Linked DNA regions of Macaca mulatta. The protein of the gene in region 3 purifies or fractionates together with the protein of the main gene of each other region. This does not show direct contact. Links are inferred from orthologs where the notes say so. Each region holds a gene or a part of one and is shown on either strand. Other genes may lie near its edges. The genes, in order: SLC6A8, MTCH2 and OCIAD1.

The links.
Region 1: the proteins of OCIAD1 (region 3) and SLC6A8 purify together in Homo sapiens (co-immunoprecipitation; 3 studies listed by BioGRID and IntAct, with this or other methods). This does not show direct contact. The link is inferred for Macaca mulatta from reciprocal best matches to the Homo sapiens genes OCIAD1 and SLC6A8.
Region 2: the proteins of OCIAD1 (region 3) and MTCH2 purify together in Homo sapiens (affinity purification with mass spectrometry; 3 studies listed by BioGRID and IntAct, with this or other methods). This does not show direct contact. The link is inferred for Macaca mulatta from reciprocal best matches to the Homo sapiens genes OCIAD1 and MTCH2.

Annotation. Positions count from the first base shown.
Region 1 is NC_133426.1:159,927,338-159,929,744, forward strand, and holds part of SLC6A8 (sodium- and chloride-dependent creatine transporter 1), read left to right. Parts: intron 1-569; coding exon 570-704; intron 705-791; coding exon 792-895; intron 896-985; coding exon 986-1,110; intron 1,111-1,430; coding exon 1,431-1,543; intron 1,544-1,656; coding exon 1,657-1,794; intron 1,795-1,872; coding exon 1,873-1,975; intron 1,976-2,060; coding exon 2,061-2,161; intron 2,162-2,241; coding exon 2,242-2,407. UniProt on the Homo sapiens protein: Creatine:sodium symporter which mediates the uptake of creatine. Plays an important role in supplying creatine to the brain via the blood-brain barrier.
Region 2 is NC_133419.1:17,947,923-17,952,297, reverse strand, and holds the start of MTCH2 (mitochondrial carrier homolog 2), read right to left. Parts: upstream 2,918-4,375; 5' UTR 2,771-2,917; coding exon 2,684-2,770; intron 1-2,683. Other genes in the region: AGBL2 (cytosolic carboxypeptidase 2), read right to left, coding at 3,131-3,138. UniProt on the Homo sapiens protein: Protein insertase that mediates insertion of transmembrane proteins into the mitochondrial outer membrane. Catalyzes insertion of proteins with alpha-helical transmembrane regions, such as signal-anchored, tail-anchored and multi-pass membrane proteins.
Region 3 is NC_133410.1:48,365,926-48,369,242, forward strand, and holds part of OCIAD1 (OCIA domain-containing protein 1), read left to right. Parts: intron 1-1,504; coding exon 1,505-1,657; intron 1,658-3,317. UniProt on the Homo sapiens protein: Maintains stem cell potency. Increases STAT3 phosphorylation and controls ERK phosphorylation. May act as a scaffold, increasing STAT3 recruitment onto endosomes. Involved in integrin-mediated cancer cell adhesion and colony formation in ovarian cancer.

The DNA.
Region 1 (2,407 bases), on a different chromosome or scaffold from region 3:
GGTCAGGCTGGGGAGTCACCTGAACAAAGAAGACAGTGTCTAGAGCTGTGGGACATGGCCAGGTCCCTGGGGGACAAGGTCCCCAGAGCAGCATGTGGGAAGAGGGGGCAGATGGTGTGGCGGCCGCATCTCGCCTGCCTCTGCCTGGCCCAGTTCCACTCTCCACCTGCTCAGCCCCCACCTCTCTGCAGAAGAGGAGGGGACCCGGCCCTGATCCAATACCCCGCTCCCTGTCTGGGCCTCCCACACCTGCACTGCCCACACACGCACACAGCCCTCACTCCCCACATGCTCCACGCCTCCTGTCCCCACTGAGGAGAGCTCCCAGAGGCTCACCTGCTCCCGAACGACATGCATCCTGCAGACAAGGTGCCCAGAGAGCTTCCCCCCGCAATTGCCAGGGCTGCCAGGGCCCAGCCTTGCCCCTAGCTTCCTCTGGTGGGAGCCATGGCTCCGAGGAGAATGGGGACCTCTGAACATACCTGTCCACAAGGGGGACCGGAGGCGCCGGGAATGGGGGTGTGAGGGAGGTGGTGCCATGGCGCCCACTGAGCAGCCTGGCCCCCCAGATCGTGTACTTCACTGCTACATTCCCCTACGTGGTCCTGGTCGTGCTGCTGGTGCGTGGAGTGCTGCTGCCTGGCGCCCTGGACGGCATCATTTACTATCTGAAGCCTGACTGGTCCAAGCTGGGGTCCCCTCAGGTGAGGTGGAGGTGGGGAGGCTGCAGCAGGGTGCTGCAGGGGAGCCCTACAGGCCCCTCACGCCTGTGCTCACCGTACCTCCTCTAGGTGTGGATAGATGCGGGGACCCAGATTTTCTTTTCTTACGCCATTGGCCTGGGGGCCCTCACAGCCCTGGGCAGCTACAACCGCTTCAACAACAACTGCTACAAGTAAGCACCACCGCCCTACTACTGGTGCCCTGCCCTGCCCTGCCCTGCCCAGCAGCCTAACCCATCCACTCTGGCCCCTCCACCCCTCAGGGACGCCATCATCCTGGCTCTCATCAACAGCGGGACCAGCTTCTTTGCTGGCTTTGTGGTCTTCTCCATCCTGGGCTTCATGGCTGCAGAGCAGGGTGTGCACATCTCCAAGGTGGCAGAGTCAGGTAGGGCCCTACCCCCAGCCCCGCCTCCAGAGCAGCAACTGCCACCCAGATGCATGATGTACATGAACACACAATATAAATGCTGAAAAGTGACAAGGATTCAAACGGAACTTGTCAGATTGTGGGCCTGCGGGGGCAGGTCCTGGGATTTGTCAATGTTGACAGAGGGAGAAAGGACCTCCCAGCCCCTGCTGCACGACCCAGGGTTCACAGCTCCTGCGGCAGGAGAGGGCATGGGCGCGAGTGTTGCAGGCAGGGCTCAGGGTGCACACAGGGCAGGACGTCAGCTGCAAGGTCTAGAGCCTGCACCTTTCCCACAGGGCCGGGCCTGGCCTTCATCGCCTACCCGCGGGCTGTCACACTGATGCCAGTGGCCCCACTCTGGGCTGCCCTGTTCTTCTTCATGCTGTTGCTGCTTGGTCTCGACAGCCAGGTTTGCATGGAGCTCTGGGACAGGGAGCCAGGAGGGCGGCAGGGTGAGGGCTGCAGGCAAGGAAAGGGGTGGGAGGGTGGTGCGGGGCTCGGCCTGAGCTGCCCTGGCCACAGTTTGTAGGTGTGGAAGGCTTCATCACCGGCCTCCTCGACCTCCTCCCGGCCTCCTACTACTTCCGTTTCCAAAGGGAGATCTCTGTGGCCCTCTGTTGTGCCCTCTGCTTTGTCATCGATCTCTCCATGGTGACTGATGTGAGTGGGGTGGGGGGGTCTGCCTATGACCTCTGGTGGCCATCCGCCATCCTTCCCTGACTGGGCTCTGTCCCCCAGGGCGGGATGTACGTCTTCCAGCTGTTTGACTACTACTCGGCCAGTGGCACCACCCTGCTCTGGCAGGCATTTTGGGAGTGCGTGGTGGTGGCCTGGGTGTATGGTAGGTCATGGCTGAGGGCTGGGCTGGGGGATGGTGGCAGGGAAGGCAGGTCTCCAGCTCGGCCCTCCCGCCTCTCCTGTCGCAGGAGCGGACCGCTTCATGGACGACATTGCCTGTATGATCGGGTACCGACCTTGCCCCTGGATGAAATGGTGCTGGTCCTTCTTCACCCCGCTGGTCTGCATGGTAAGGGCTAGGGGAGGTGGGGTGGGGGGCGAGGCAGGGCGGGGTGGGGGCCCCATTAACCGCAGCATTCTGGTCCGTAGGGCATCTTCATCTTCAACGTTGTGTACTACGAGCCGCTGGTCTACAACAACACCTACGTGTACCCGTGGTGGGGCGAGGCCATGGGCTGGGCCTTCGCGCTGTCCTCCATGCTGTGTGTGCCGCTGCACCTCCTGGGCTGCCTCCTCAGGGCCAAGGGCACCATGG
Region 2 (4,375 bases), on a different chromosome or scaffold from region 3:
GGAGGCCAACTTCTGATCTCACCCGAGGTCAGAAGTTCAAGACCAGCCTGGTCAACATGGTGAAACCCTGTCTCTACTAAAAATACAAAAATTAGCCAGGTGTGGTGGCGGGCACCTGTAATCCCAGCTACTCAGGAGGCTAAGGCTGGAGAGTCGCTTGAACCTGGGAGGCGGAGGTTGCAGTGAGCCAAGATTGTGCCATTGCATGCCAGTCTAGGTGACAAGAGCAAAACTCCGTATCAAAAATAAATAAATAAATAAATAACTCCTGTCTATAGTGCTACAGGAATAGTGCTACCAAGTAACCATTTTTATTTTTATTTAGTTACTTATTTATTTTTTGGAGGCAGAATTTTGCTCTTGTCACCCAAGCTGTAGTTCAGTGGCATGATCTAGGTCACCACCTCCTAGGTTCAAGCGATTATCATACCTCAGCCTCCTGAGTAGCTGGGATTATAGGCACCCACCACCACACCCAGCTAAATTTTTGTATTTTCAGTAGAGAGGGGGTTGTGCTTTGTTGGCCAGGCTAGTCTTGAACTCCTGACCTCAGGTGAACCACCTCTTTCAGGCTCCCAAAGCGTTGGGATTTACAGGCGTGAGCCACCGTGCCCGGCCCAAGTAACTATTTTTAAAACTGAGCATTTGGGAATTTCACCAAAACTCCTGGGCTACTTGGCAACACAAAGATGTTGTGAAATCAGAATTAAGGGTATTCAAAGTTTTTGGGGCAAGAGCTCTGAACATCACTAGAAAACCCCATCTCCCAGAGAAGTACTGAGTAGTGGGTTCTTTTTTTTGTTTCTCTGAGGCTGAGTCTTGCTCTGCCGCCCAGGCCGGAGTACAATGGCATGATCTTGGCTCACTGCAACCTCCACCTCCCGGGTTCAAGTGATTCTCCTGCCTCAGCTTCCCGAGTAGCTGGAATTACATGCACGCACCGCTGCACCTGGATATATTTTGTATTTTTAGTAGAGACGGGGTTTCACCATGTCGGTTAGGCTGGTCTCGAACATCGACCTCGTGATCCGCCTGCCTCGGCCTCCCAAAGTGCTGGGATTACAGACATGAGCCAACGTACCCGGGCCCAAGGGTTCTTACTGGATATACTGCAACATGCTGTCATCTCAAATGCTATCTAGCCCCAAATGTGCCAATTCTGTTTTAGATGTTACAGTACATTCTTTTTTTTTTTTTTTTTGAGACGGAGTCTTGCTCTGTCACCCAGGCTGGAGTGCAGTGGCCGGATCTCAGCTCACTGCAAGCTCCGCCTCCCGGGTTTACGCCGAGTCTTGCTCTGTCACCCAGGCTGGAGTGCAGTGGCCGGATCTCAGCTCACTGCAAGCTCCGCCTCCCGGGTTTACGCCGTTCTCCTGCCTCAGCCTCCCGAGTAGCTGGGACTACAGGCGCCCGCCACCTCGCCCGGCTAGTTTTTTTGTATTTTTTAGTAGAGACGGGGTTTCACCGTGTTAGCCGGGATCGTCTCTCGATCTCCTGGCCTCGTGATCCGCCCGTCTCGGCCTCCCAAAGTGCTGGGATTACAGGCTTGAGCCACCGCGCCCGGCCTACAGTACATTCTAATCAGTCTTTGTTCTAGGTGCAAATCATTTATTTGCAATAGCGTTTAACGAACAGAATCTGAATTCACACGGGTCTACTCAGCAAGAAATAATCTGGATTCCCAACAACTCAAGAATAAGAAACGTGGCCCTCTCTAGCGTCTTGCCTAATTTTTATAGAAAAGTAAACGGCAAGACAGGGGTTCTAAAAACTGTTCCATTCCTAGGCACAGTGCATGAGGGAATTATGTCAACTCTCAGTAAAAGCATATAAAAAAAATGACCTGCCCGTTACAGGGATATTCAGGAAAGGAACTGGAAACACTAAGTCTATCACTTACTTGGCCTACCTGCATGTGAATATAAAATACCACATAAGAATTATTTGACAGTAGATTAGAGATTAACTCCCATGTTTAAACTCGCTAAAACTCCGCTTCACTAATTTCCAGCTCTGACCAATGTGATTTTCATTGTCAGGAGCCACATGGGCTGCTGCTGGAAAGCGCTCAATGCATCCTTCCGAAATCTGACAGAGCAACCCCTTCATTAACACTTCTGAATGAGCTCCTTGTGTTTCTCTGGCTATCCGGTGCGAAAACCTCGGAACAGAAAAGCAGTAGTAACAGTAGCATAAAAAGAAAAGAAAAAAAAAAGGAATAAAAAATAAAATGTTGGTTCCCACCTAACTTCACATTTGTCTTCAACTGAGTATTTCGTGTCTTGCGTCTGAGATTTTGGGGGGAGGAGCGGTGAATGTGAATTTCGGAGGGGCGAGAGGGAGGGTTCGGAAGCCCTTGGTGGCAACCGGCCAGGATCCACCTCAGAGAAGAAGAACCAAAGTTCAGAGGATCCGCCGGGCAGGGCAGGGCAGGGCAGGGTGGCAGTTGGCTAAGGGAGGAGTGGGCCTCAACGCTGGGCAGCGGGGCGAGGGCTCGGAGAGGCCCCCAAGAGGGGCCGCGGGACCGATGAAGCTGTCCCTGCGGGGAGGGAAAGGGCAGCGGAGGAGCAGCAGCATCTCGGGAGAATGAAGGGCCCGCAAGGCTGAGCCGATCCTCAGGCGCCCTGAGCAGCAGCGACCGAACGGGGCGCCAGGAGGGGTAGGGAGCGGCGACGCCTCATACCTGGATGAGCACTTTCACGTACATAAGCGGCTGGGACAGGATGGTGAGACCGGAGCCCAGGAGCACCTGACTGGCCGCGTCCGCCATGATGGCACCCGCGGACGGACAGACAGACTGAGCCACCAAGAGACCCGGTGAGCCGGTCCTGGGTCACGTGCCAGGGCCGCCGGTTTCACTGGCCCGCCCGCGGCGCGCGCGCACGCACGCACCAGCGCGCGCCTCTCCGCCCAGTCCCCGCCCCCCCTCCCGCCCGGAGAAACGGCAGGCGCTCGCGAGGGGGCGCTGGGGTCGGGGCGGGGCTTACGGTACACAGGCGCATGCGTTCTGCCGGGGGCTCGTCCTCCGGGAATGACGGTTTCTCTCGCACATGCGCGTCCAGGCCGCAAGTGTCCGGAAACAGAAGGGAGTGGCAGAGGGGGGAGTGTGACCCTGACGGCAAAGGCAAAGTCAGAGGACTGAAAAGAAATGGAAAAGGATTCTTCGTTATGCTTCACCTCTGCACTTGCCTTTTGAGCATCATCAACATAGGGTTCAAAAGATATTCAGCATCAGAGCCGTTAACAGTCTAGTGGCTGACAAACTCTTAAGTATAGCAAATAATCCGCTAGCGAGTGGCTCTTCATTCATTTATTCGTTTAATTAATGTTATCTTCTCAGAAAAACCTTCTCTGACCATTCTAAAATTACCTCCCCCTTTTCTTTTTCTTTTTTGAGACGGAGTCTCGCTCTGTCACCCAGGGTGGAGTGTAGTGGCGTGATCTCAGCTCACTGCAACCTTCGCCTCCCGGGTTCAAGCAATTCTCCTGCCTCAGCCTCCCTAGTAGCTGGGATTACAGGCATCTGCCACCACACCCGGCTAATTTTTGTCTTTTTAGTAGAGACAGGGTTTCACGATAATGGCCGGGCTGGTCTCAAACTCCTGACCTCGTGATTCACCCACCTTGGCCTTCCAAAGTGCTGGGATTACAGGAGTGAGCCATCGTGCCTGGCCACCTCCCTCTTATTTTCTCCCACATTGTCCCCTGTCGTAGCATTATCACTGAAATTATGTCTCCTCCACTGGAGTGGAAGCTCCATGAGTTCAGGAATCGTGACAGCCTTTGTTCACGGTTGTGTTTTCAGTGCCCAGCACATACAAGGTACTCAATAAATATTTATTGCACAAGTGAGCAAATACTTCAGTGCCTACCGGTCTACAGGCTATCAGAGGCAAAAGTGAAAAAGGCATTGTCCCTGCTCCTTCAGCCCCAGCTCATGTGTTCTATCAAACAACATTTGGCCAATCTGAGCTTGGAGCAGAATGAAGTACCGCAGGGAAAAGACTTGGATTTGGATCCTGGCTTTTCCACTGCATCCATTTGTCATTTTAGCCTCTTTAATTTCCAGTGTTTGTATCTAAATCTAACACTACTGTCTACCTCTCAGGGTTATTATGAGCATTAAGTGAAGTTGTGCATAGGAAAGGATTTTTTTAAAAACTGTATATTGAAATACAGATGTTTGGCCGGGCACGGTGGCTCACACCTGTAACCCCAACACTTTAGGAGGCCGAGTTGGGTGGATCACCTGAGGTCAGGTGTTCAAGACCAGCCTGACCAACATGGTGAAACCCCATCTGTACTAAAAATACAAAAATTAGCTGGGCATGATGGCAGGTGCCTGTAATCCCAGCTACTCGGGAGGCTGAGGCAG
Region 3 (3,317 bases):
ACTCAGGAGGCTCAGGCAGAAGAATCACTGGAACCTAGCAGGCGGAGGTTCTGGTGAGTCAAGATCGCGCCACTGCGCTCCAGCCTAGGCAACAGAGTGAGACTCTGTCTTAAAAAGAAAAAAAAGAAAGCTTATGGTTGAAAACATTATTTAATGTATAGTTATGTTGCTTAGAAAATTCTAATTATTCACTGGAATCTTACCTTTGAGTTCTAAAAAAGTATCACAAAAATTATTTTTTAAAAAATTAATATTAAAATTATATGCCCAATTTATATGTCTCATTGAAAACATCTTTGAAAAATAGTACTTTTGGTGTGGTATGTGGTATGTAAGACTTTGTAAGTTAAATAGTTGTTCACTGAATGTTAGCAGCTTTTTTTTTTAATGTTCATATGGCCTTTGTTGCTGTTTATAAACTTTACAAACTGTGTTCACTATTTGATCCTGTCAGCCAATATTAGGAGGAACCACTGCATTATATTTACATTTGACCCTATGATAATATGTAGTATTCACATTTTGACTCTCTGGGAGAAATAAAGAATAAATTTTAATTCCCAGGCCAAAATAACAGTTGATACTTTCTTCTGCATTAATGTTGCATCTTTTAGACCAGAATGAAAACAATACATATTCTGATTAAAGGCTATGTTTTATACTTTTCAAGTAATTATTTTCAACTTTTTTTTTTTTTTTTTGGAGACAGATTTTTGCTCTTGTTGCCCAGGCTGGAGTGCAATGCCGCGATCTCGGCTCACTGCAACCTCCTCGTCTCTGGTTCAAGTGGTTCTACTGCCTCACCCTCCTTAGTCTAGGATTACAGGCGTGTGCCATGACACCCAACTAATTTTGTGTTTTTAGTAGAGATGGGGTTTTTTTCATTGGCCAGGCTGGTCTCGAACTCCTGATCTCAGGTGACCCGCCCGCCTCAGCCTCACAAAGTGCTGGGATTATAGGCGTGAGCCATTGTGCCTGGCCTGTTTTCAAGTATTTTTGTTTAAATTTCATAAAATGGTAAAATAAATGATTTTTGAAAATAGCTGGAGTTGTTTTCATAGAGTCTGTGGTTATAGGACTATTTAAGTATATATTGAGTAAAATCTGTACTATGTCAAGTGTTATTCAGTTGTCACTAGTAGAATATCTTTCTCTTTTAATTCTGTATACAGTATGACTAACTCCAGTTTAAAACACTGGTATTTTAATGAGTTTAAATTGTACGGTTATATATTATGATACCTATTTTTCTTCTGGCTGTGGTTTAGTTTTTAAAATCTTTGATGTCCATTTTAATTTTTAGAAATAAAAGCTTAAAAATATAGGCAGAAGTAGATTTCAGTTTGATAATTATCTTGGTGAAAGTATAGTACCTGTGAAATGGTGGTAATAATTTGATTCTTTATACTATTTTGATTGTAGGTAAGGAGCATTTGTAAAATTTAGTTGCTTTAGAGTTATACAAATCCTTTTATTACCATTTATTAACTGTTTGTTGTTTTAGGACCTGATCCCAACCTTGAAGAAAGTCCTAAAAGAAAAAATATTACATATGAGGAATTAAGGAATAAGAACAGAGAGTCATATGAAGTATCTTTAACACAAAAGACTGACCCCTCAGTCAGGCCTATGCATGAAAGAGTGCCAAAAAAAGAAGGTATGATAGTTTAGTCTGAATCACTTTACTGTTTAGGATTGGAAACTAAAACATTACTTTAAAACAGTACTATAAAAAATTAATTAATATGTGATTTAACTCTTCAAGCAGTTAACTAAAGTAAAATATTTTTAAAATAGTACTTTACAGTTATCTGTTCTTCCTCTTTTTTTTTTTTTTTTTTTTTTTTTTGGAGACGGAGTCTTGCTCTTGCTCTGTCCCCAGACTGGAGTGCAGTGGCACGATCTTGGCTCACTGCATCCTCTGCCTCCTGGGTTCAAATAATCCTCCTGCCTCAGCCTCCCAAATAGCTGGGACTACAGGCACCTGCCACCACGCCCAGCTAATTTTTTGTATTTTTAGTAGAGACAGGTTTTCACCATGTTGGCCAGGATGGTCTCGATCTTTTGACCTCATGATCCACCTGCCTCAACCTCTCAAAATGCTGGGATTACAGGCGTGAGCCACTGCACCTGCCAGTTCTTCCATTTTTAAGGTGTTCCAAAAGCCATTTTGTGTTAGAAAATACTGAAGTCAAGACCAGGCGCAGTGTCTCATGACTGAAATCCTAGCACTTTGGGAGGCCAAGTTAGGTGTATCACTTGAGGCCAGGAATTGGAGATCACCATGGCCAGCATGGTTGAAACGCTGTCTCTACTAAAAAAAAAAAAAAAAAAAAAATACAAAAAAAGGTATGGTGGTGCATGCCTGTAATCCTAGCTACTCGGGAGGCTGAGGCAGGAAAACTGCATGAACCCAGGAGGCAGAGGTTGCAGTGACTGACAGTACGCCACTGCGCTCCAACCTGGATGATGGAGAGAGGCTCTGTGTCCAAAAAAAAAGAAAATAATGAACTCCAAATAGTAAGACTTAAGACAGCAAGATTAGTTTTGTAACACAAGGTAGAGATTATACACTCATTTGACTGTTTTTCTCTTATAAAAAATCTCCTTGGAGATCTGATAGTCTTATTTTCCTAATGATACACCTATCACATAAGTTGCTGTAGTGACCTGAGGTTGGCATTGTGCTGTAATACCACTTGTGGCCTAACCACAGAATGATTGAGTAATGAGATTGATTTTCTTTGTACGTTTGGGTTTTTCTCTTGTTTATTTTTTTGTTCTGTGTTTTTTTGTTTGTTTGTTTTTTCTTTTTGAGATGGTTTTATTCTGTCACCCAGGCTGGAGTGCAGTGTTGTAATCATGGCTTACTGCAGCATTGACCTCCTGGGTTCAAGCAGTTCTCCTACCTCAGCTTCCCGAGTAGCTGGGACTACAGGTGTATGCCACCATCCCTGGCTGTTAAAATTTTTTTTTGGTACAGTGGGTTTTTCCCTATGTTGCCAAGGCTGGTCTTAAACTCCTGGGCTCAAGTGAGTCCTTTCACCTTGACCTTCTAGGATGCTGAGATTATAGGTGGGAGCCACTGTGCCTGACTTTTCTGGTATATTTGTGAAATTGAAAGAGTTATATACTATATACACCAGCTTCTAAGGCATTTCTTAAAGAGGAAAAAAGCAAAAAAAACTACTTTGGAAAAATAATTGTGAATTTTTAAATGCTGATTTCTTTTAAGTCTCTTTGAAATAGCTATACATCAGCCAAAGTAAATTTTTTGATATAAGTTTACCTCTAAAGGAAGAGGGCATTTGAATAGG